Lonchura striata: one gene and its partners. Each later gene encodes a partner of the first gene's protein in a complex. Links are inferred from orthologs where the notes say so. Each region holds a gene or a part of one and is shown in the gene's direction. Other genes may lie near its edges.

Region 1 (7,415 bases):
GACTCACTGGCAGGTGGTGTAAAAGAGAATTCTTCTCAGACATTCTCAGTATTCTCAGGATTACTGAGAACACTGCAAATGCACTGCCAACAGCTGTCCTGTCCTGTGTCCTGCTAGGAGATGTAAGTTGTTTATTAGCCCAGAGGACTGGAAGCTGCTCCTGGTGTACATCTTTGCTCCTGAGCCCTCATGCTCTTCTTCACTTTCACTGACCTGATTTGACAGGGAAGGGAATGCTTTGGGCACTGGGGTGGAAGAGCACTGTAACATGCAGAGTATGACCAAGAGATTGAGACCTCAGGGCACGCATGAGAGGCACACAGATCACACACCTGAGAGCTAACACACACAGCCTTCAGCCTTGCCAATCAACTTCTCCCTTCTGCTAGCAAATTCATGTCCCACAGATCAATTCCAAACTGCTTGGAAGGGAGAAGTGTCTGTAAAATGGAAAATCAACTTATTTTCTGGCATCTAAGAGAGAAATCTGGCTTCAGAAAAGAAGCCCTTTCTTCAGTTTGAGTTTAGTGGTAATTTCCTTCGCAGACAGCACTGTGGTTTGTTAAGCTTTCAACTTGAAACCTGTATTTTAGAAGTACATTAACATGTAATTTCAGCAAGCTTCTGTGGGATTCCATGAATAGGAAAACCCAGGTGCTTGAATGAGAAAACCATGATTTTTCCTGGCTGCTTTATGGGAGGTATTCCAGCCAGGTAATAAGATTGGCTGTATGTGGTAGAAACCAGGCAAAACCAACTTTTCTATGGTATTATGGAATCTATTAGATCCTGTTGCTATTTCCTAGCAGCAAAAAACAACTGCTGAGGGAGACACTCACTCCCTCTATGCAGGAATCTTAGAAGTGACAGGCTCTTCAGCCTTACCCTGTACAAGTAAACTAAATGGAAGGACAATTAGTCCTCTTTCTTCAGAGAAATAATTCCAAATACTGCTTTCTTCTCTGTTCTGGGCTCTATTTAATTCCAGCAGGACCAAAAACTGCAAACACTGTCATTTCTTGAGCAAGGTGTTGGGCTGTCTCTGGCTGTCATGCTTGGTTTCACTAACCAGTCTCTGTTTATGATACATCTACAGCCCACAGTTCTCCATTCAGCAGTACTACTATTTTTCACTCATGCACTTAATTTGTGGTTTCCAACAGTTTCTGCTTTCCTGGACCATGAAAAGGAAATGTTCTTCACTTCAAGCTAGTTGTGCTGTCTCACACCACTGTTCCATGTCATAAGATTTCTTTTCCAGGAGAACTGTGGCTCCCTTGTCATGGCATCAGGCTCTAGAGCAGCACTGCTTCACAGCTCTTTTGTGAAGTACTCTGTGAAGAACTGATAGCTTGTTTTTGTCAATTATTACTGTTTTTAATAATAAATGTATTAATAATAAATAAGCTTTAGGCTTATTGAGTTTAAATAAATGCATTAATTTAATACACCAGCTTAGCCACTTCACCAAATAGTGATAGTCTTTGCCCCATAAAGACAGGGAATAAGAGCAATGTCATGCAACAGGCTGGGGGATAGAGTGGCAAATTCAGCCTGAGAGGAGACTGAGTGGGAGTTGCAAGTGCAGAGTACTTGGCAGAGTTTTCCTGTATTTTCAAGTACACTGAAGAGGTCTCCTTGAGGCATGATGACATCTGCTACCTGAACAAAGACACAGGAGTTTTGGAGTGTCCTCCATCTTCTCTCTCCATTAACTCAATTTATGAGATGTTTTAGAGAGCATTCAAGGACCAGGATTGGAAGTGGCAATTACTCTGCTGTGACAGGTTTTACATCTTTACTCACTACACTTTATCCTACAGCCTCACTCTGACCTTGTATGTGCTCTGAGGGACTGAATACATTGAGTGCAGGATTTAGAAAGTAAGAAAATTTGACTCTTTCTTCAGGTGTTGGTCTCTTCATTATGGGCTTCACCTCATATCAGGCCAGGAGAGAGTCTGGATATGATCAGGATCTGTGACCCTTTTATGAATACACAACACCACACCACAGTCAGTGTAAAATGAATATTATCCCATCCTTGTGAACCAGCTGTGGAGACAAAATTTAGCAGCACCTTTTTCAACTTGGCAGTGGCAAAGATTCCTTTCTATTAAGGTTTGTCCTAGGCTACTTGGAAGACAAATTATTCAAGTTCTTTTGAATATGTCAACAGGAGAAGGTTGCTGATACAGGGGGATTTACTGGACCTCTGACAGGAATGACATTAAGCTCAACCAGACACATTTAATGAAGAACACACATGTCAGACCACCAAAGCCAACATGCCAGGCCAAAGGCATGAAGGTTGGCCCCAATCCCTGATTTCCTTCAGAAAGACATCCAGAGCCAATGACCAACTGCTGGGAAAGTAAAGGAAGAAGCTGCTATGTCATGTACCAATTACAATTTCTCTTCAGATTTTTAAAGTTTGCATAGCAAGAATTACAACTTCTCTAGAGAATACACATGAAGAACTAATCTAAACAAAATTATTTTAAAATAGTTAAAACCATTAGCATTGTTTTCCTGACAGCTAAAATTGGAGTGACTTGACAGCTTGATTCTTCAGGGCAGTGTGACAGCAAGGGAGATCACCACTACCATGGGGTGCTGCACTGGAGAGCCCCCAGGTGAATTCCTCCTTCTCCTGGCACTACTTTGGTGCCTTTTTCCTAGATGTAATTGAAGGCCACAGCTTTACACTGAGGCTATAGCTTCTTCTGAGAACTAGGATGCCTACAAACTCCTGCTTCTCCAACTCTTCTTTCACACCCTGCAGCTGCTGGTGAGAAGTTTCCCCTCTTCTGGCCTCACACTCAGCTTCTCATCCTGAAATTCAGGTTCTTTACACTCCAGAGAACCACCTGATGATGAAATCAGATTTGCCAGTGCTGGTCCCATCTTTCTGAACACATGAGGAAAATTCAATTAATGAGCAATGCCTTTCTTAGTCAACACAGTAGAGGTTTTCACATCATTCAGTCCCAAGAATGACATGCCTGATTTCCTCCGTAGTCCTTCCTGGGATCAGTGCCTCCAAACCACATCTGTCCAAGCTTCAATCTAACAGGAATCCAGCCAGCACTCCAGCCTAGGTCAGCTTGTACTGTCACTCACAACAAGCACATTTGCATAGGAGTCACGACAGACTCAAATCTGACAAAATTCATATCAGAAATCTTGGCAAGAAGAAGAACTGCCAAACATAATTTTGGGAATATACAGGAAAGGCATGAACACCCTTCTTGGCAGCCAGCAGCAGCCAGGACAGTGTTGGAGCTGCAGAAAAGGCTGATGGTGAGGCTCCTCACGAAGACCAGGAATACATAGCCAAGTGATGCCAACCAGCTCCTTTCCCAGTGTTCAAGCTCCCGGACCATCTATTAAAAACATATTTTTAAAATTAATTTTCATTTAGAGACAGCAAGCTTTCAGCACTTTTGGCAGAAAAGTCTAGAACATTTCGGGAGCTCCAGATGCAACTGAGCCTAACACACCAGAAGAGCTTCTTCACTGGGGGCAGAGCAAAGCCTTTGGAATTTTGAGGCAATCCCATCCCTAATACGACATTTATGTCACATTTTCCGTAGCTCCGTAATACACCTTTTTGACAACAACCCTCCGGAACGAGCATCCCACTACAGCAAGGACCTCGCTGCTGCATTAGCGCCGTGCCCTCGGTGTCCGGCCCCGGGAACGGGCGGGACACCGGGACAGAGGGCTGGGGCGGGATCCCGGGATAGGGAGCTGGGGCGGGCCGGGAGCGGGACGGGATGCCGGGATAGGAAGCGGGACGGGATGCCGGGAGCGGGGCGGGATCCCGGGATAGGAAGCGGGACGGGATGCCGGGAGTCGGGCGGGATCCCGGGATAGGAAGCGGGGCGGGATGCCGGGAGCGGGGCGGGATCGCGGGATAGGAAGCGGGGCGGGATGCCGGGAGCGGGGCGGGATCGCGGGATAGGAAGCGGGGCGGGATGCCGGGAGCGGGGCGGGATCGCGGGATAGGAAGCGGGGCGGGATGCCGGGAGCGGGGCGGGATCCCGGTATAGGAAGCGGGGCGGGATGCCGGGAGCCGGGCGGGATGCCGGGAGCGGGGCGGGATGCCGGGGTAGGAGCTGGGCGGGATGCCGGGAGCCGGGCGGGATGCCGGGAGCGGGGCGGGATCGCGGGATAGGAAGCGGGGCGGGATCGCGGGATAGGAAGCGGGGCGGGATGCCGGGAGCGGGGCGGGATCGCGGGCGCGCCGCAGCCAATCTCCGTCCTGCGCAGCGATTGGCGCTGGTTTTCCCGCGTGACGCCGCGCCGGGCGGCGATTGGCCGCGGCGGAGAGCGGCGATGGGGCCATGGCGCCGGGCAGCACGCAGGGAGCGCCGGCCGCCGGCAGGTGGGTGCGGGCACGGGAGCGGGTCCGGGAGCGGGCACGGATATGGGTCCGGGTACGGGTACGGGTACGGGTACGCGTCCGGGTACGGGTACGTGCGCGGCTCCCCCGGCGCGGCCGCGCGGGCTCTGCGCTCCTCGGGGGCCCGCCCCGCCCTGCGTGCGCTGGAGCCGCGGGCGCTGAGGGGGCCGGGCCGCCGCGGGCGAGTGACGGCGCCTTGTGGCTCCTTCCCCCCGCAGGAGCGGGCCCGGGATGCAGGGCGGAGGCCCGGCGGCGCACAGCGTGTGCATGGTGTCGGACTTCTTCTACCCCAACATGGGGGGCGTGGAGAGCCACGTGTACCAGCTGTCACAGTGCCTCATCGAGCGCGGCCACAAGGTCCTGGTGGTCACCCACGCCTACGGCCACCGCAAGGGCGTCCGCTACCTCACCAGCGGGCTGAAAGTCTACTACCTGCCCCTGAAGGTGATGTACAACCAGTCCACGGCCACGACGCTCTTCCACAGCCTGCCCTTGCTCAGGTACATCTTCGTGCGGGAGCGGGTGACCATCGTGCACGCCCACAGCTCCTTCTCGGCCATGGCCCACGACGCCCTGTTCCACGCCAAGACCATGGGGCTGCGGACCGTCTTCACTGACCACTCCCTCTTTGGCTTCGCGGACGTCAGCTCGGTGCTGACCAACAAGCTGCTGACGGTGTCCCTGTGCGACACCAACCACATCATCTGCGTCTCCTACACCAGCAAGGAGAACACGGTGTTGCGAGCAGCCTTGGACCCTCGGATAGTCTCTGTCATCCCCAACGCTGTCGATCCCACCGACTTCACTCCAGACCCCTCGAGGAGGGATGACAGTACAATAACAATCGTTGTTGTCAGCAGACTTGTTTACAGAAAAGGTAATAGGGGGTCAAATGTAAGCTTAGTTTGGTTTCCTTACTTTGGAGAGGTCTTGGTCAGGTGTCACTTAGGCAGTATCTGTGGTATGGATGGAATTTTCACTGGGAGTGGCGAGGTGGCTGTTGCAAACTTAAGAAGAAGACATGTACATTTGTTTTTGTACGTGTTGGCTTCAGAAATGTGTTTCCTTTGTAATACTGAAGAGACCAAAAACTGCAGTTTGTAAAATGGAAGGTTTGGCTCATATTGGACATAAGATTTAGAGCCTAATCTAAATATTCTGTTAGAAATGTTTTAATTGTTTTTTATTTAATCAAGTGACAGCAGCTTAAGTGATTTTGTTTCCATTTTCTTCTTGTACGAGGTCTCAAGTTGTCGGGTTTTTTTCATATTTCTGTGTACAGCAGTTTAACTGTCTTCAGGAGACTTTTTTTCCACTTCTTCTACTCCTGAATAGAGTTGTAGATGTGGGCTACATCATGAGAAGTTCTGAAATCAAATGCAATAATGGCTTGCCCTAAATTTCCTACTCTTAGGTATTGATCTGCTTAGTGGTATAATTCCTGAGCTCTGTCAGAAATATCCGGAGTTACATTTCTTAGTTGGAGGAGAAGGACCAAAACGAATCATACTGGAAGAAGTCCGGGAAAGATACCAGCTACATGACAGGTTTGTTCTGTGGTTATCCATGACCCTTCAAGGTACTTCAGGGGTGGGGACCTGCCTGCCTCCTTCCCTCAGATAAACCCCAAATCTTGAGACTGGAGGCCTAAAGGCAAGGCAGATAAACCAGACACTGAAGACTTTGAGAGCTGGACTATGATCCAGCAAGTTAATTGATTTTTCTATGAATAAGCCCTGAATGAGCCTTCACTCAGGTCATAGAAAGGTGACTTAGATTTAAGTTGATCATGCCCCTCTGTGCAACCATGATGCTTGGATATCATTTGGCATAGATGTTAACATCTCGTTTGTGCCATTGCATGTGATGATGACTGCTAGTAATTTATTATTTCAGTATGAAGTTCTTCAGTATAGTGCTTGTCTCTTATGTTTTCTTGTGGTACTACAAACTTATTACCTGGTGCTACCATGTTACCAGAATGTTGCCATTTATGTATTTCTCTTGGGTTTTCTTGATCACGAACAGTTTCATATTCTCAATTGTTTGTTTACTTTTCTAGGTTTTTTATTGCCTGTTTTGTGCTTTAGTCAGTGATTTCCCCAATTAAAATTGTCAGTATCATTCTCATTTTACCCTTTATTGTTTTCCAATGTCTCTTAAAGATGATGGGTCCTGATGATTGTATCTTAAAAACTTTTTCCCTTATCAGACTCAGAATGGTCAGACCTCACATAGAAAAGTCAGATAATATATTTGACAAATCTTAGTTATTAACTGAAGGAAGCCATATTTTCTTGCAGAACTAGAAGGCTCAGTATGAGTGTTCTGGAGGCAAATGTCATTAAAACACCAACTTCTCCCACCAACTTTATTTTCAGAAGTTTCTTTCAGTGTGACAATAAAAAAGCAGGGTCTTCTATTTCTCTGTTGCTGGAAAAAATTAGATAACACTAAACTGAGGTGCCCATCTTTGTTCTGTCACTATATAAGTATGAACCATTGATACCTTTTTCAGAGTATGTGGCATTGTTATGGTCCAAATCTAGTGTTTATCTCTGATGGTTTTTTTTGGTTTGTTTTTTTTTTCCTCTTGTTTGCAGGGTGCGTCTTCTAGGAGGCTTGGAACACCAGGAGGTCAGAAATGTCCTGGTCCAGGGGCACATTTTTCTCAACACTTCCCTCACTGAGGCCTTTTGTATGGCTATTGTGGAGGCAGCAAGCTGTGGTTTACAGGTAAAAAAAAAAAAAATGGCAGTATTTAGAAAACATGTATCCATTTTAAACAAATTTCACAATGAAATAATATGGGCTTATCACATTTAATTTCATCTGAGGCTCTGTCTTGGCAGAGGTAAGCAAATGTTATGCCCATTTACAGATCACCTGGAAGCTGAGACAGAAGGGTTAACTCCAAGAAGAATTTTGTGTGGAATTGGGAATAACATGTAGATCTGCTCTCAGTTCTCTGAACTAGCCAGACTGCTTCTCCAAAATACTATTTTGT
Region 2 (7,262 bases), about 15 Mb from region 1:
TACAGGGCACAATTCAGGCATTCCAAAGTGCCAGGAAACGTTAAAATAAAGGATTAATTCAGGCATTCCAAAGTGTCAATAAATATTAAAATCAGTCATTATTTCAGGCATTCCTAAGTGACAGTAAATCTTAAAATAAAGGATTATTTCAGGCATTCCAAGGTCCCAATATTTAAAATCCAGGATGATTCCAGCCTCTATTCCTGACAAAGCAAAGCAAAGGAATCTGAACCCTCTGAACTCACCTGGTCATGGAGGGGGTTTTTCAGAGGGGATTTTTATGGAATTATGGATAGAGAAATGCTGGAAGGTTTGGCATTCCTGTGTTCTGAATGGATAAATAATAAATAAATATTCTGAACTAAATAAATAATAAGATAAAAATGGAGAAATGCAGCCTCTCCTTGCTGGGCTGGAAGGGAATGTTCTTTTCCAGGGAAAACAGCAGCCTCTTCCACCTGTATCCATGAATTATTCTGGACAAGAATAATTGAATTAACCAGGGCAAGAGGGCACAAAAAGAGCAGGGTTTGTCCCCAAAAGCATCCTGCACTTCCCAGAATTTGGATGGAACAGGGAGGGAGGGATGGGAATTAAAAATTAAATGGGGTAATTGAGGTGGCTACAGGTGCTCTGAAGGAAATGAAAAGGGAAATTCAGTTTATTGGGGTGGGTTCAGGTACTCTCAGGGCAGAGCAACATCACTTGAGAGTCTGAAAATACAAAAAAATACAACAAAAAAAAGCACTCAAAAATACAACAAAAAAAAAATCACCAAAAAATTGCACAAAAAAAATCCACAAAAAAAAAAATCTCTTCCACAGCTGTTCATCTGCTTATTCCCACCAATTAGAGGGCTGTGCAGAAAATACAATTTTGAATTTGAGCCACCTGCTTTTCTGCAACTGAGAATTTTTGTTTAATTATTACTGCAAAAACCCTCCCTGCCAAAAAAAAACAACAACAAAAAACACACCAAAAAAACAAAAGAAAAAAAAACCAAAAAAACCAACCAACCAAACAAACAAACAAACAAAAAAAAACCAAGAACTGGAAGTTTTCTTTAGACCCACACAGCTAAAACCTCCAGCTTTGAATCTCCATCCTCACAGCATTAATTGCCTGCATTTATGTAAATATTACTGAATATTTAAGTTAGATTAGGAAATAGATGATAATTGTTCCAGGGTAACAGAATATAACAATGCTTCTGCTAAAAAATAATAATAAACCAATTTTCAAGCAACATAAGGAAAAATAAAATGAAATAGTAATCCAAAGATCCAAGAAATGGAAGAATATTGGTTTAGTTTCAATACCTGGTTTAGGACGAGGCGGCACAACATGTCCAAATGTTTCACGACACTAAAGATAAACACATAATTTACATATTTACAGGTATATATTTACATATTTACCATTTAGTACACTGCACAGCCAAAAAGCAAACACGGAAGAGCTGAAATCCCACAGGGAAGAGCTGAAATCCCAGAACTCAGAGCTGAAATCCCAGGAGCCAGAGCTGAAATCCCAGAACCCAGAGCTGAAATCCCAGAACCCAGAGCTGAAATCCCAGAACCCAGAGCTGAAATCCCAGGAATACAGAGCTGAAATCCCAGGAATACAGAGCTGAAATCCCAGGAGTCAGAGCTGAAATCCCAGGAGCCCAGAGCTGAAATCCCAGGAATACAGAGCTGAAATCCCAGGAATAGAGAGCTGAAATCCCAGAACCCAGAGCTGAAATCCCAGAACCCAGAGCTGAAATCCCAGGAATACAGAGCTGAAATCCCAGGAGCCAGAGCTGAAATCCCAGGAATACAGATCTGAAATCCCAGGAGCCCAGAGCTGAAATCCCAGGAATACAGAGCTGAAATCCCAGGAATAGAGAGCTGAAATCCCAGAACCCAGAGCTGAAATCCCAGAACCCAGAGCTGAAATCCCAGGAATACAGAGCTGAAATCCCAGGAGCCAGAGCTGAAATCCCAGGAGCCCAGAGCTGAAATCCCAGGAATACAGAGCTGAAATCCCAGGAGCCCAGAGCTGAAATCCCAGGAGCCAGAGCTGAAATCCCAGGAATACAGATCTGAAATCCCAGGAATACAGAGCTGAAATCCCAGAACCCAGAGCTGAAATCCCAGGAGCCAGAGCTGAAATCCCAGGAATACAGAGCTGAAATCCCAGGAGCCCAGAGCTGAAATCCCAGAACCCAGAGCTGAAATCCCAGGAGCCAGAGCTGAAATCCCAAAACCCAGAGCTGAAATCCCAGGAATACAGAGCTGAAATCCCAGGAATACAGAGCTGAAATCCCAGAACCCAGAGCTGAAATCCCAGGAGTCAGAGCTGAAATCCCAGGAGCCCAGAGCTGAAATCCCAGGAATACAGAGCTGAAATCCCAGGAATACAGAGCTGATTGCCCTGCAGGGGCTGATTGCCAGGCTGAGCTGAAGCAGCCCAGGAATGGCCACAGGACCAAGAGGTTGGGCAAGCTGTGCTGGCAGGAGCTGTCCCAGCAGTCCCCCCCTGCTCACAGGGGACACCAGCTCTGGCTCTGCCCCAGTTTGGGATTTTTGGAAGGGAATCATGGCCAGTGTGAGGTACCTGTACACAGCTTGAGTTCATGAACACTGGGAATCACTCTGGAGATGTGATCAGAGAATCCCAGAATGATCTGGGACGGGAGGGACCTCAAACATCATCCCACTCAAGCCCTGCCACGGCAGGGACACCTCCCACTGTCCCAGGCTGCTCCAAGGCCAGTGTCCAACCTGCCAGGGATCCAGGGGCAGCCCCAGCTGCTCTGGGCACCCTGTGCCAGGGCCAGATCCAGGTAAAAACTCCCCTGGAACATCCTGCAAGTTTCCCATCAAGCTCCAACCCCTCTTACCAGATCCAAGGAGGCCGGACCACCTCCAAAAAGAGCCGCTACAAAGGTGGACAGAGGACCAGCCATGGCACATCACCCTGGGAGAAAAGGAGGGTGAAAACACACCAGAGAGACAAACTCAGGAGCTGGGCCACACTTCCAACAGCCACGGCGCTAAAGCTCACTCTGCTGCTCTTGTTAAACTCTGGGCAAGTTCAGCTTAACGCTGAGCAAGCCATCCTAAACCCGGCTGGAAGCTCAGGCAGCCACTGACTCTGATCTACACCGCGACAGGAGCCCGGGCCCTGCCGCACGGCTGCATCCCGGGATCACGGCTGCATCCCGGGAATCACGGCTGCATCCCGGGAATCACGGCTGCATCCCGGGAATCACGGCTGCACCCCCGGGATCACGGCTGCATCCCGGACTGCATCCCAGGAATCACGGTTGCACCCCCGGGATCACGGCTGCAGCCCCGGGATCACGGCTGCATCCCGGGAATCACGGCTGCATCCCGGGAATCACGGCTGCATCCCGGGAATCACGGCTGCATCCCGGGAATCACGGCTGCAGCCCCGGGAATCACGGCTGCATCCCGGGAATCACGGCTGCAGCCCCGGGAATCACGGCTGCAGCCCCGGGAATCACGGCTGCATCCCGGGAATCACGGCTGGATCCCGGGAATCAAGGCTGCACCCCCGGGGATAACGGCTGCATCCCGGGGATTACGGCTGCATCCCCGGGAATCACGGCTGCACCCCCGGGAATCACGGCTGCACCCCCGGGATCACGGCTGCATCCCCGGGAATCACGGCTGGATCCCGGGAATCACGGCTGCATGCCGAGATCACGGCTGCACCCCCGGGAATCACGGCTGGATCCCGGGAATCACGGCTGGATCCCGGGAATCACGGCTGCATCCCGGGATGCCGAACACCCCGCCCCGTCCCGGCAGCTCCCGGGCTCCCCCCTCCGCCGCCACCCGATCCCGGAAAACCGCGGGCTCGCCGCTCGCGTGGATTATCCTGCCAAAGGGGAGAAGGGGACGCCGTCCGTGCCGGTGCTCCCAGAGCCCGGAGATGCTCACGGCACCGCGTGTGCGGCCCGGGGCGCGCTCACGGTGCCGGGCACAAACCGGGGCTTCCGGGCTGGGCGAGGCGCGGGGGAAGGCGGCCGAGCGGCCACCGCTCCGTCCCTCCTGTATCCCTCCGTCCTTGTATCCCTGTATCCCTCCATCCTTGTATCCCTGTATCCCTCCGTCCCGGTATCCATGCCCGGATCCCGCACGCACCGCTCCGATCCCGCTGCTGCCGCGGCGCCGCCGCTCCCGCCGCCCCGGCGCGCCCCGCCCGCCGGACGCACCGCCCATTGGCCGCCCGCCCTCTGACGTCACGGGCCGCGGCCAATCGGCGGGCCGTGCGCCTGCGCGCGTGGCCGGATGCAGGCGGCGCGGTGGCGGATGGGGGAGCGGGGGTAGGGAGCGCCTTCCTCCCCCATCATCATCATTATCATCCTCCTCCTCCTCCTCCTCCTCCTCCTCCTCCTCCTCCTCCTCCTCCTCCTCCTCCTCCTCCTCCTCCTCCTCCTCCTCCTGGGCCAGGCTGTGGACAGCAAAGGGGCAGAGCCGGGCGCGGGGAGAAGGGAGGGGTGCGGCCCCCGCAGCCGCGGGTACAGGGGCCCCCCCAAAGCGCTCCCTTATCTCTTCTATCCCTTATCTATCTCTGCTATCCCTTATCTATCTCTGCTATCCCTTATCTCTGCTGTCCCTTATCTATCTCTGCTACCCTCGTGTCCCGTTCTCCGCACTCCCCGCGAAGTTAAAGGCAAAAGCCCAGCATGGTTGAGAACTCTCCGGCCCCGCTGCCAGAAAGGGCAATTTACGGATTTGCGCTTTTTTTGGGCTCGTGGTTTGGCTTCAGTGAGTATCGCGCAGCCGAATCCATCACCCCGCAGTGCTGCTTTGCTTTCCCGTTTAAATCCGTTTTTTTTTACTCGAATCACGCTCATTTTCACATTCACTAAGCGCTGGAGGTAGTTGTGGTGTTACCTTCCCCACCAAAAAAATGAAAAAAAAAATAATCTGGTCAACAGAAGTGTAAAATATTTTAGGTTCCATCAGCTTTTCCCTGCTGATGTGATGGGTTCTTCTTTTCACTGGGGATCCAGGGTTTGAGAGGGTAGAAAACACTTTTCCAGCACAAGAAAAGGTGCTGCAAATATCCTTCAGTGCAGGATCCTGCTGTGGGTGTGTGGCACCGTCGGGCAGTGAGAAACGAGGGGGAGTTGGGCTCAACTCCCCCCCAAGAAGAATCAGGAAGGATTTTCAGTAATTTTCATTACAGTTCCATCCAAACACTACAATTCCACCCGGTTTTCTTCCCATAAAATGACCTCTGTGAGATCATTCTCTGCTTTAATAGTATCTCTGTTCAGATTCCTTTGGCTTCTTTTTATTGAGGTGCTTGGGGGTGGTTTTGTTGGTTTTTTTTTTTTCTTTATTGTTCTGCAGTTTAATTTGGAGTAAATTCTTGGCTGTCTTCATAGGAAATCAGAAATTAAATGTTAAAGCAAGAACAAAACTGATCCCGTGTAACCAGGGGCTGGGCAGGATTTGTCCTGCAATCTTTTGGGAGAGGTATTTTAGTTTAAATAAAAGCAAAACTTAGGAAGTCTAAAACACCATCAGTCTTATTGTGACTTTTTGATTTTGTTGTGCAGTTTTGTACCTTATCTGGGCTTATATTCCTGAGACTTGGCTCTTCTCCCTGGGACTGACATACTGGCCTCAAAAGTAAGTTCAGCCAATAAAATAAATTTAATCTTAGTTATTTTCAAATAAAAAACTTTATTTTTAAATAAGGGCCTAGAATAAAATCAATTTTCCCATGCTGATAAAGAATTGTAATGTTTCTAAAGCATTTTTAAAATGTAGCTAAGGTGAAAAGGTTTTGTTGTGCCATGAAATAAATAATATTGGGATGCTTTAGGATAAATTTGACATTTTGCTTTTTAGGAAGTCTGCTAGTGGAAATACAGTAAAATGTAGGGCATAATTAAACAATAAAGACCTTTTTGAAGGAATTTATCTGATGGTTTATCAGTAGCTCCAGTGGAATCAGGATTCATAATCAGAGGTGCTGCTGCTTTTCCTCTTGTAGAAATTCATCACAGGTACAATGCCAACAATTAAAGCCAATTCATTAGTAGGCATTTGTTACTAAATATAAAATTTCAAATCCTTTTTTTCAGGTACTGGGCAGTTGCTCTGCCAGTTTATCTCCTGGTGGCTGTGGGAATTGGTTATATTTTGCTTTTTGGGATTAACATGATGAGCACAGCTCCACTCAACTCCACTCACACCATCACAGGTGATTTTACTGCTTATTGAAAAGTTGGATCCTTCACTGAGAATTCTGGAAATCTATAGAGGATAAACCCCGAAATTTAAGCCTTTAAATATTTGATTTATTGGAAGCCCTGGTGGGGTTTTCAGCATCCTTTAAAGTAAGCTAAATTTGTAGTGCTGCCTTATAAAATTATATCATACTCTTGGAAGAAAAGGACCTGGAAACCATGAAATGCTCTCCTTATCTTTTGTAGATAACTTTGCAAAAAAGCAGCAGCAGAAGAAATTCCAGGAGGAGGCAATTCCAGCCCTGAGAGATATTCCCATCAGTGAAGTCAACAGGATGTTTTTTCTCCCTGAAAAAGGCATCTGCAATAGCAGATAGTTGTTACTAAAATCTGTTTGGACAAAGGATTGATAAAAATTACTGAGGAACGATTAAAACCTCTCCAAGCTAAAAAAAAAACAAACTCTTTCAGCTTTTTTTCCCCTGAATTTCTAATTAAATTCATATGGCTTCATTATTATTATTATTATTATTATTATTATTATTATTATTATTATTATTATGCACCTTATTAACCTGCATTGCTCTGAAAATTATGCCCCAGTCATTTATCTGGTTGTTATTTAAAAATTAAAAAAGTGGGTTGAAAAGTGTTCTGTTACTTGCAGCTTTTTGCTTGGAATTCCCCTCTGAGCGGGGAAAAAAAGCAGCTTTTAGACAGTTTAATTCTATTTTTTTTTAAATTCAGGGAGAGAAAAATGTGTTTTGCCAGTCAAACACTTGAGGATCTTTTTCAATTATTAACTGGAAGTGTTTGCATTGTAAATATATCATTTGCCTTTGTAAATATTAATAAAATGTAACTGATTTTTCCATCTTCACCATTTTCTTGTGATTCTGGGAGGTTTCTCCTGGGTTGAGGTGATAAATTCTCCATTTTCCTTCACACAATTCTTTATTCAGCCAAACCTGTTGATCCCCCCACCCCCCCAAAATATCAGATTTACCGAGTTACCAAAAATAATAAAGGTGGGTTGTGAAGATTT
Region 3 (8,076 bases), on another chromosome or scaffold:
GGGCAGCGTGTGGGGCTCTGCCCCTCAGTGGGATGTTACAAACATTATATACCAGAAACTACCTGTGCTGTATTTACAATAATGTGCCAATATCTGTCACCTACATTGAACAGTGTGTTCCCAGCCTAAACCAATAGAAAAATACCAACACTGCAGTGAAACATGGAGGGCATGAAGAAGGAGAAAAAGGACAAAACACACCCAATTTCCTCCATCTTGTCCCCTTTGAACCCCTAATCTAGAATCCTAAAATTTTACTTTTGCACCCATGCCACACTTAATTATTACTTATCTCGAACACTCAGAGCTTGTAATTCATCCCGTAAGATTGAAATCTCTTTTCCATGGACAGAGATCAGAGACAGTGTCTCTCGGGGCTCTGTACAGGGAGGTTCCTGACCCCCTGCCAGGGTCCCAGGCCTTCCAGGGCAGCCAGAAGGAAGCTCTGGATTCCCACAACCAGCAAGAAAATATCTCCATGTGTTAGCATTCAGGAACACACATAATCATGGGATATGATTGTATGGAGGTGCTTTTATTGAGAGCTCTGGGAGTCAGGGATACAGACCCAAATCTGACTCTGATATGGCTTTCGAGCTGAACGTATTTTATATTCTATCATTATATAACTTACATATTAATTATTAAACTTATATTGTTCTATTGTATACATTGACATCAATTTCTCGTGATTTTTCTTAGGCCCCTGTCCAGAGTTATATCAAAGGGCTCAGATTTCCCTTTCTTTATACCTTCTGCAAGCTCCTATTGAAGTGAGCTTGTGTCAGGCAAATAAGAGGGTTTTGTCTTCCAGTTTTTAATTTGGTTGGGTTTTGTGGGTTTGAGCTTTTCCTCAAAGAATTCCTTCAAAGTGGAAACATTAGCTCTAAACCATTTGTAAGAGAACCCCAAGACTTCCAGCATAAAATTCTATTATTGATACTGAGTAATACCATTTGAAAGAGAACCCCAAGACTTCCAGCATAAAATTCTGTTATTGATACTGAGTAATCTGCTGCCTACAGCACTATTTAGAAGAGCATCCTCCTTTCAAACCTAGCATTTTATTAATTTCAGATAAACTTTAGACTAAGTAACTATTCCAGTACAAAGAACCTCTTTTAGATGCCCTCTTCCACACTTGCTGAAATTACAGCTCATTCTCACTAGAGTTCAAGTATTGCCAACAACGGCAATGTCTATACTTTGCATAAAACAAGAATGGAAAAGAATATCTACACATCTGGCTGCCAACTGGGACTTTTCAGCTTGTGAATCATAAGATATGCAGGATAAGCCTACAGGGCTACAAAGAACAATTACTTCTGTTTAGAAGCATTCTTACCATTCAGAATAAAATTGCTAGAGGGTTATTAGGCAATTATCTCTGTGTGCATCTAAACTCCACTGACACTAACCACCCAGGGAGAAGATATTGGTTCTTTCTGTGGTACATCCCTGCAATCCATCTTCATCACACCATTTTCAGTAACACTCTTTAGATTAAAGATTCTCCAAGACACAGTTCAGCTTTACAAATTTCTATCCCTCGTGTCCTGTTTCTAGTAAATGTGGTACAGCTTTCTGCAGCTTGTGGACGGAATAGATGTGAGAAGTTGAATCACAACTAAGTGCATGGATTTGCTTGCACAAAAAGACGAGAAACAGCCCATTCACAGGGTGACATTTGCAAGCGTTTTCAAAGACTTCACACAAGACCTCTTATATAAAACTGACGATTTCTCCAGAAAATTCTGAATTTCATCACCTGGAAGCATACGAATCTTTTAGGAACAAACTGGTAACGAACACAGAAAAAAAAAAAAATAAGGCAAAGCCCACACTACGTGCTAACCCGAGGGTTAGTCACAGTTCCTTCTCTGGATGCCACGAGCGCGCACAGCAGTTCGGGCGGCCGCTCGCTCCGCGGCAGTCAGCAGGGGAGCATCACACGCTCCGTGCGCCGCTCGCTGCGCCAGCGCGGCCGGCTCGGCTGCGTGCCGCTGCTCTGGGCAGCCGGAGCGCATCGCGGCCGGGGAGCCGGGACCACCGGCCGCTCTTTGTTCCGGGACCCCCGCAGGGCCCACTGCGGCTCCTCCCGGTGCGGCATGCGACGGGCGTTCTCCCTCCCGACGCCTCCGCAGGGCTGCGGGCACCGCCGGCGCCGGGGCACGGTGTGCTCCGTGAGGCACCGGAGGCGGGAGCCGCCTCCCCCCGCCCGCAGGAGCGGCTGAGTCACGCTGCCCCCCGAGCGGAGGGGGGCGCGGGCGGCCCCGCAGCCCCCGCCGCCACCCCCCGCCCGCCGCGCTGTGCTCACCGAGCCCGGCCAGCCGCTCCACCAGCCCCGCGGCGCGGAGGGTAGCGGGGCCGTGGTCCACTCCCCGCCGTTTCTGCGAGACAAAGAGAGGGGAACGCGTCAGACAGCGCTGCCCGCAGCCAGGTACGCGAGCCCCGCCGGGGAAGGGGAGCCGGGCGAGCGCGGCGCCCGGCGCATCCCCGCGATGCCCACCTGGCCCCTGGAGAGCGGGGCTCCCACCAGCGCCACGGAGTGCGCCCCGCGGCGCGGCCGGAGCGCGGCGTCGGGCTGGGCGCGGAGCAGGCGGGCGAGGGATCCGCGCAGGGCCATGGCGGGCGGTGCTGCCGCGCGCCGCCCGCGCCCCGCTCTCTTTAGCGCCGCGCGCCGCCCCCGCGCCGCCGGCCAACGGCAGCGCGCGCGCACGGAGGTGTGTCCGCGCGCCCCGCCCCCGCGCCCGCACGCCCGCCCGGGGTTTTTCCACTGCCGCCGCCGGGGGCACGGACGGGGGCTCGGAGAGAACGAGCAGCGCCTCAGGCTGGCGATGAGATGCTCGTTCTCTCTGACACGTGTAGGTCCCCTCTGTGTGCGAGCCGCACGCTCCTGCAGCTCAGCCCGGCTCCCTGGCTGGCCGCTCCGTGGCTTCCCCGAAGGAAAACGGTGACGCTCATCACCAGATGACCTTAATAAAGCATTGAAGGACCACCTGTTCAGCACCTACCTCGAATATTGATCGCAGAGCATCGTGGCCTGAGACGATTCTCGGGTCTCCAGCTATTCATATTTGAGGCACATTTGAAGGATGATTAACAAATGATTTAAAAAGAAGTGGCAGTCCCCACCTTTCCCTGCTGTGACAAGGCAACAGGACTCCCACTGTCGAATGTCCAGTCTTTATCTACAAGCTTGAAAGAAGGCTGACAGCTCATGAGATAACAGGGCAGAAACATAGTTAAATAGGGACTTGCCAGAGACACATATTAAAAAATCCAAGCATATTTTGCTTTTTCGTCTTAAGATTTCCTAGTTCTCCTCCTATCTCTGTATGTCAATAACTTCTTTGTGTCTTGTTGTGAATGTGAATTATTGTTATCACTCCTCCAGGAGATCATATTTCTTTTCTGTCCTGTTTACTGACCTGGCTGTTCACAGTGCTTTTACCTCTTCTACTTCTTACTCTGATATTTCTTTCCCCTTCTTGTCCCCATCTCTGAAGCTGTCATACCAGCTGCCATAACTCCTGCTTACATGCTTCAGTCCTTCTCACCTGCCATTTCAAACCTTTCTTCCATCTTTTAAAAGCCTGTTTTCAATTTATTGGGTTTTTTCCACTTTCACTTCATCAACTAACTTCTTTCATCCTCTTTTGAACTTCAGTATTTTCTTCTCCATTTCTGCACTTCATTGTCTGCTGTTAATTTTTTTTTTCCTCCAGGCCAGCTCACCTTTCCTCTTCAGAGGAAGAGGAAAGCCCATTCCTCCACCTGGTCTCTTGTGTCAGAGTGGGATCCTGGATGTACTGCACAAGACTTCCCATGGATGGCAGCCATCAACCACTCCTCCAGGCAAAGCAAAGGCCTCGGTAGTGATTCTCTGATGCCCCTTGTTTTTTCATGTCCCTTAAGACTTCTTTGGTGCCCCTGTGAGAACAAGTTAACAGCTTTTTTGTACATACAGTATCCACCCAAGAGCTCTGAGGATGCCATGCATGAAGTAAATTGCTCACAGAAAGATGGCACCTGCAATTAAAGCTAACACTCAAAAACTGTGGGAGAAGGGAAAAAAAAAAAAAGGCCAAAGAAATCAGGATGGCAGTTTGGAAGTCACAGAGCTGTAGTTTTATATTACTGCCACGTAGTCACAGAGCCACCACGAAGTCACAGAGCTGTAGTTTTATATTACTGCTATGTCAGTCACATGAAGTAATAACTGAAATGCATTAAAGGGAACACAATACAAAGATCCATTAAGTCTCTGTATGCAAAGCCAAGTCTCCAATTTATCATGTATTTAGTGGCAAGGGACCAGAAAACTCTGCTTTAAACCTTGGGGGAAAAAATCAAAAGAGCTTGTAGTTAGCTAAGCATGGTACAGATGAGAAAATCCATTAATGTAGTTGCAGATGGTAAGGACAAAGGGGTGAAAAGAGAACCTTCCTGAGAAGAGAAGGTTGCATGGAGAACTCATAGAAACCTTCCAGTATCTAAAGGGGCGTTCTGGGGAGCCAGAGAGGGTCTTTCCATCAGGAGTTGTAGTGATAGGACTAGGAGTAATGGAAAAAGGGTAAATTTAGGTTAGATATTAGAAATTTTTTCCTTTGCATGTGGTGAGACACTGGACCAGGTTGCCCAAGGAGGTTGTGGATGCTCCAACCCTGGCAGCGTTCAAAGCAAGGTTGGATAAGGCCTTGAGCAACCTAGTCCAGTGTGAGGTGTCCCTTTCCAAGGCGGGTGGTGTAGAACCAGATGATCTTTATGTTTCATTCCAGTCCCTTAACAGTCTACGATTCCATGAAAACCCCAGGCTCTTCATCACGTCAAGAGACACGTGCAGCACCACTAACCCGTGTGCCCTTTAACTAACACTCATACTCCGTAAACAGAGGAAGCAGGCAACGAATTATCAACATGTGCAAACCGCAGAAAGCGCTGATGTAATCGAGATTACGGACAGACGCCCGGGCAGGCACAGCCGAGGAGGCAGGCGGCGCGGGCCGAGCCGGCGGGCCAGGCTCCTCCCGCGGGAGGACGGCCGGCCCCGCCCGCCCGGCATGGCGGAGCAGCGCCGCTTCCTCTCGGCCTGCGGCGTGCCGATCGCGCTGCGGCGCCGCCAGCACAGCGCGTCCTGCCGGGAGCTGGCGGTGCGCGGCCCGCGCCTGCAGCTGCGCTCGCTCAGCGCCGTCACCTCCGCCGTCTGGCTGGCGGCCTACGGGCTCTTCGCGCTCAGCGAGGTACCGGCCCCGCCGCCCCGGGCCCTCCGCGGCTCGGCACGGCGCCGGCCGCGCCCCTCCCGCGGGCGCGCAGGAGTCCCGCGGGCTGCGCCGCCTTGGCTAGCGGCGCCCGGGGCGTGGGGGCGGCCGCAGCCCGCGGGAAGGCGCCGAGCGCCGCTCCGGGGCATCCCCCGCGCCCCGGCCGCTCCGAGCTGGTGGGTGTGTGACGGCAAAGGGACGGCCGTGCCAGCCTGCCGGCTGCGGGCCGCCACCTGCCTGCCCCAGTGGCTTCGCGGGTGCCTCTGTTGGTTTGTAGCCTCTTGACAGATAGGGTAGATGTATGGGTGCTGAGTGATGCCTGGCACATCCTTCTGAGTCCAAATAACACGTGTTCACTTGGAGAAATGAGTTGTGAGAATCTGAAATTAAGGAGGAATTGAATAAGGTGAATGATTTTTAATCCTCAAAAGGAATTTTTCTAAGTGACACCGGGAGCACTGCACCGGGAATGTCATCAATTTTCACAGCTGAGGCAGAAAGATATTTGCAGTACAGATATAAAAGTCTGCTGATTCCTAAATTAATGCTTTTGGATTAATCAGAAACTGGACCCAGACAAGTTATGTCCAGACTGAATTCAGTAGCTTGACCAAAGAAGCTGGTCACTGTGACCCATGCTTTGACTGTTGCAAATCAGTTTTTTTCAGTAATCCTTCTTAAGAAACAAAGGTAGAGTCAGTTGTCAGACAGAAATAGATGGTTCCTGATTAAATTTCTTTTTTTACGAAAGCATGTCATTCTTTTTTTACACTGCAGTCAGTGGTTAGCACCCACTGCCCTCCTGCTTGTCTTTACACATGCTCCTGCAGCCTGCATGCAAGTGACTGCAATTCTTCCTTTAGCCAGGAAATCAGGCCTGAAAGTGCCCCTCTCTTTTTGTGGATTTCAGTGTCTGTACTTCATGACTGTTTTTTTCCCCTGTGATAGCAAACTTTTGGAGATGTCCTGTGTGCTTCCTGAAGCGATGGCTTCTTTTGCTCACATGGTGGTACAGGCCCAGCTTGAGTGGTAGTAGGGCTGTGCAGTTCTGTTCCTTTAGAAAGTGTCACTTATAACTCTCATTCATGAGTAGGTGGCCTGAAGATCTCTAAAACATGTCTCAGAAACAGGTTGTGGGTTGTGGACCTTTAGAATTTATCACCAGGTCTTCAGATGATTTACTGGTGACTATAGTGTCATTGGTTATATATTAAAATGTAACAGCAATCCCAAGACTGTGGCATGCAAAAGACATTGATCCTTACACAAAATACAGGATAAAGCAAAATTTCATTGGGTTGGTATTTAAGGCAAGAAGTGGGTGTGGTTTGAACAAGTTTGGACTGGCAGTTCATGGTAAGAAAACCACCCTGGCAGTGTTTATCCTGAAGGAGGGTTCCTCTGCTTTGAGAATCCACCCTTGCTTCCTGTAAACATTTCACAACACTTTTTTGTCAGTGACATCATCTTTAGAAGTTGGCATAATACTCTCATTGATACATCTGGCTTGTTTGGGTTGAGATTTCTGCATTGAACTTGGAAGGGAATAGAATTTTCTCGCAGTTTTCAGTTTCAGCTCCCAATTCTTTTAGTGCATACTGCAAAGACTAACTTAAACCTCACTACATAGATATCAGCCAGCCAGGTGAATAAAAAGACTCTACCTAAGTAAAAATGCTTTGCACCTGTAGCTTTAATATACAATTTGCTGCGCAATTTTAATTTCTCTAAAGCTGTGTTAAAGTAACTGTAAGACCAGAGCTCTGCCTTTTCTTGGCTTGTGTTACAGAACAGCATGGTGCTCTCTGCCGCCATCTTCATCACGCTGATTGGCCTGATCATATACCTGCACTTCGTGAAGATTGACCAGGAATCCTTGCTGGTCATCGGCTCGCTCGGCATTCAGGTGACTTCCTCCTATGCCTCAGGGAAAGAGAGCACAACCTTCATTGAGATGGCTCAAGTGAAGGATGTGGTTATCAATGAAGCCATCCATATGGTAATCATACAAAATCTGTCTTCTTGTGTCTGGGCACACTCACATCCAGTGTATTTTCATGAGCATGATTTACCAGAGCAATTAAACACAGCACCATCCGTAGCTTTACTGACATCAGGAGCTTCAGATTTTTCAACTTAATTTGTCATCTCTCACCTTTAAAGGAGAAATCAAACCAAACAACCTCAAAAAGCCAAATCAATCCCTTGGATAATGCCACTGTCATTGAGCTAGTGGGTTTCGTTCTTTGTGTTATGCTGTTCTTTCAAATCCTGATGCCCAACTCCATATGTAATCAAGATGGAGATGAGAAGCTACGACAGCACAATGATTTTTCCTATTGCTGGGGTTTGCAAAGCTCCTGTAGAAAAGCAGACCTTACCCTTCCAGCATGTGTGTGTTCTTCTTAGGTTAAAAACTTAATAGACAGTCAACGTTATTTCTTTATTGAGTGAAAGCTGTTGATACAAATTTGTAGACTTGACTGTGACCTGGCAGGATTTGCCTTCAGCCCAGTGAGTTGAAACAGATCCTACTTCTGTGCTAACTCCAGGCAGTTTGACAGCATTTTTATACTCCAATGATTTTTGTCCGTTTGTCTTGTAGCAAAAAGTTATCTACTACCTGTGTATCCTCCTCCAGGACCCTGAAGATCCTCAGGGAGTATCTGAGGTTGTGCCACTCTTTCAAGTGAGTTTGACTGAATGGTGGAGAAATCCATGTTGTAGTCTTTGTGTTGCATCAGTTGTCTAAGCATATTTTTATTCTGCTACAGGTAGCTGGTGACAGTTGCCTTTCCCTGGCTGGGCTGTCAGG

The links.
Region 2: PIGA (region 1) and PIGP share a complex: the UniProt entries of both Homo sapiens proteins name them as parts of the glycosylphosphatidylinositol-N-acetylglucosaminyltransferase (GPI-GnT) complex. The link is inferred for Lonchura striata from reciprocal best matches to the Homo sapiens genes PIGA and PIGP.
Region 3: PIGA (region 1) and PIGH share a complex: the UniProt entries of both Homo sapiens proteins name them as parts of the glycosylphosphatidylinositol-N-acetylglucosaminyltransferase (GPI-GnT) complex. The link is inferred for Lonchura striata from reciprocal best matches to the Homo sapiens genes PIGA and PIGH.

What each region holds. Positions count from the first base shown.
Region 1 is NC_134604.1:100,048,953-100,056,367, reverse strand, and holds the start of PIGA (phosphatidylinositol N-acetylglucosaminyltransferase subunit A), read left to right. Parts: upstream 1-4,319; 5' UTR 4,320-4,349; coding exon 4,350-4,390; intron 4,391-4,626; coding exon 4,627-5,285; intron 5,286-5,822; coding exon 5,823-5,955; intron 5,956-7,011; coding exon 7,012-7,144; intron 7,145-7,415. UniProt on the Homo sapiens protein: Catalytic subunit of the glycosylphosphatidylinositol-N-acetylglucosaminyltransferase (GPI-GnT) complex that catalyzes the transfer of N-acetylglucosamine from UDP-N-acetylglucosamine to phosphatidylinositol and participates in the first step of GPI biosynthesis.
Region 2 is NC_134604.1:114,839,616-114,846,877, forward strand, and holds PIGP (phosphatidylinositol N-acetylglucosaminyltransferase subunit P), read left to right. Parts: upstream 1-4,262; 5' UTR 4,263-4,336; intron 4,337-4,425; exon of another isoform or gene 4,426-4,680; 5' UTR 4,681-4,699; coding exon 4,700-4,781; intron 4,782-5,581; coding exon 5,582-5,654; intron 5,655-6,112; coding exon 6,113-6,231; intron 6,232-6,463; coding exon 6,464-6,594; 3' UTR 6,595-7,097; downstream 7,098-7,262. Other genes in the region: E3 ubiquitin-protein ligase TTC3, read right to left, coding at 1,320-1,365, 4,155-4,232. UniProt on the Homo sapiens protein: Part of the glycosylphosphatidylinositol-N-acetylglucosaminyltransferase (GPI-GnT) complex that catalyzes the transfer of N-acetylglucosamine from UDP-N-acetylglucosamine to phosphatidylinositol and participates in the first step of GPI biosynthesis.
Region 3 is NC_134608.1:32,902,373-32,910,448, forward strand, and holds the start of PIGH (phosphatidylinositol N-acetylglucosaminyltransferase subunit H), read left to right. Parts: upstream 1-5,053; 5' UTR 5,054-5,063; coding exon 5,064-5,243; intron 5,244-7,050; coding exon 7,051-7,260; intron 7,261-7,866; coding exon 7,867-7,950; intron 7,951-8,076. Other genes in the region: ARG2 (arginase-2, mitochondrial), read right to left, coding at 2,318-2,390, 2,510-2,626. UniProt on the Homo sapiens protein: Part of the glycosylphosphatidylinositol-N-acetylglucosaminyltransferase (GPI-GnT) complex that catalyzes the transfer of N-acetylglucosamine from UDP-N-acetylglucosamine to phosphatidylinositol and participates in the first step of GPI biosynthesis.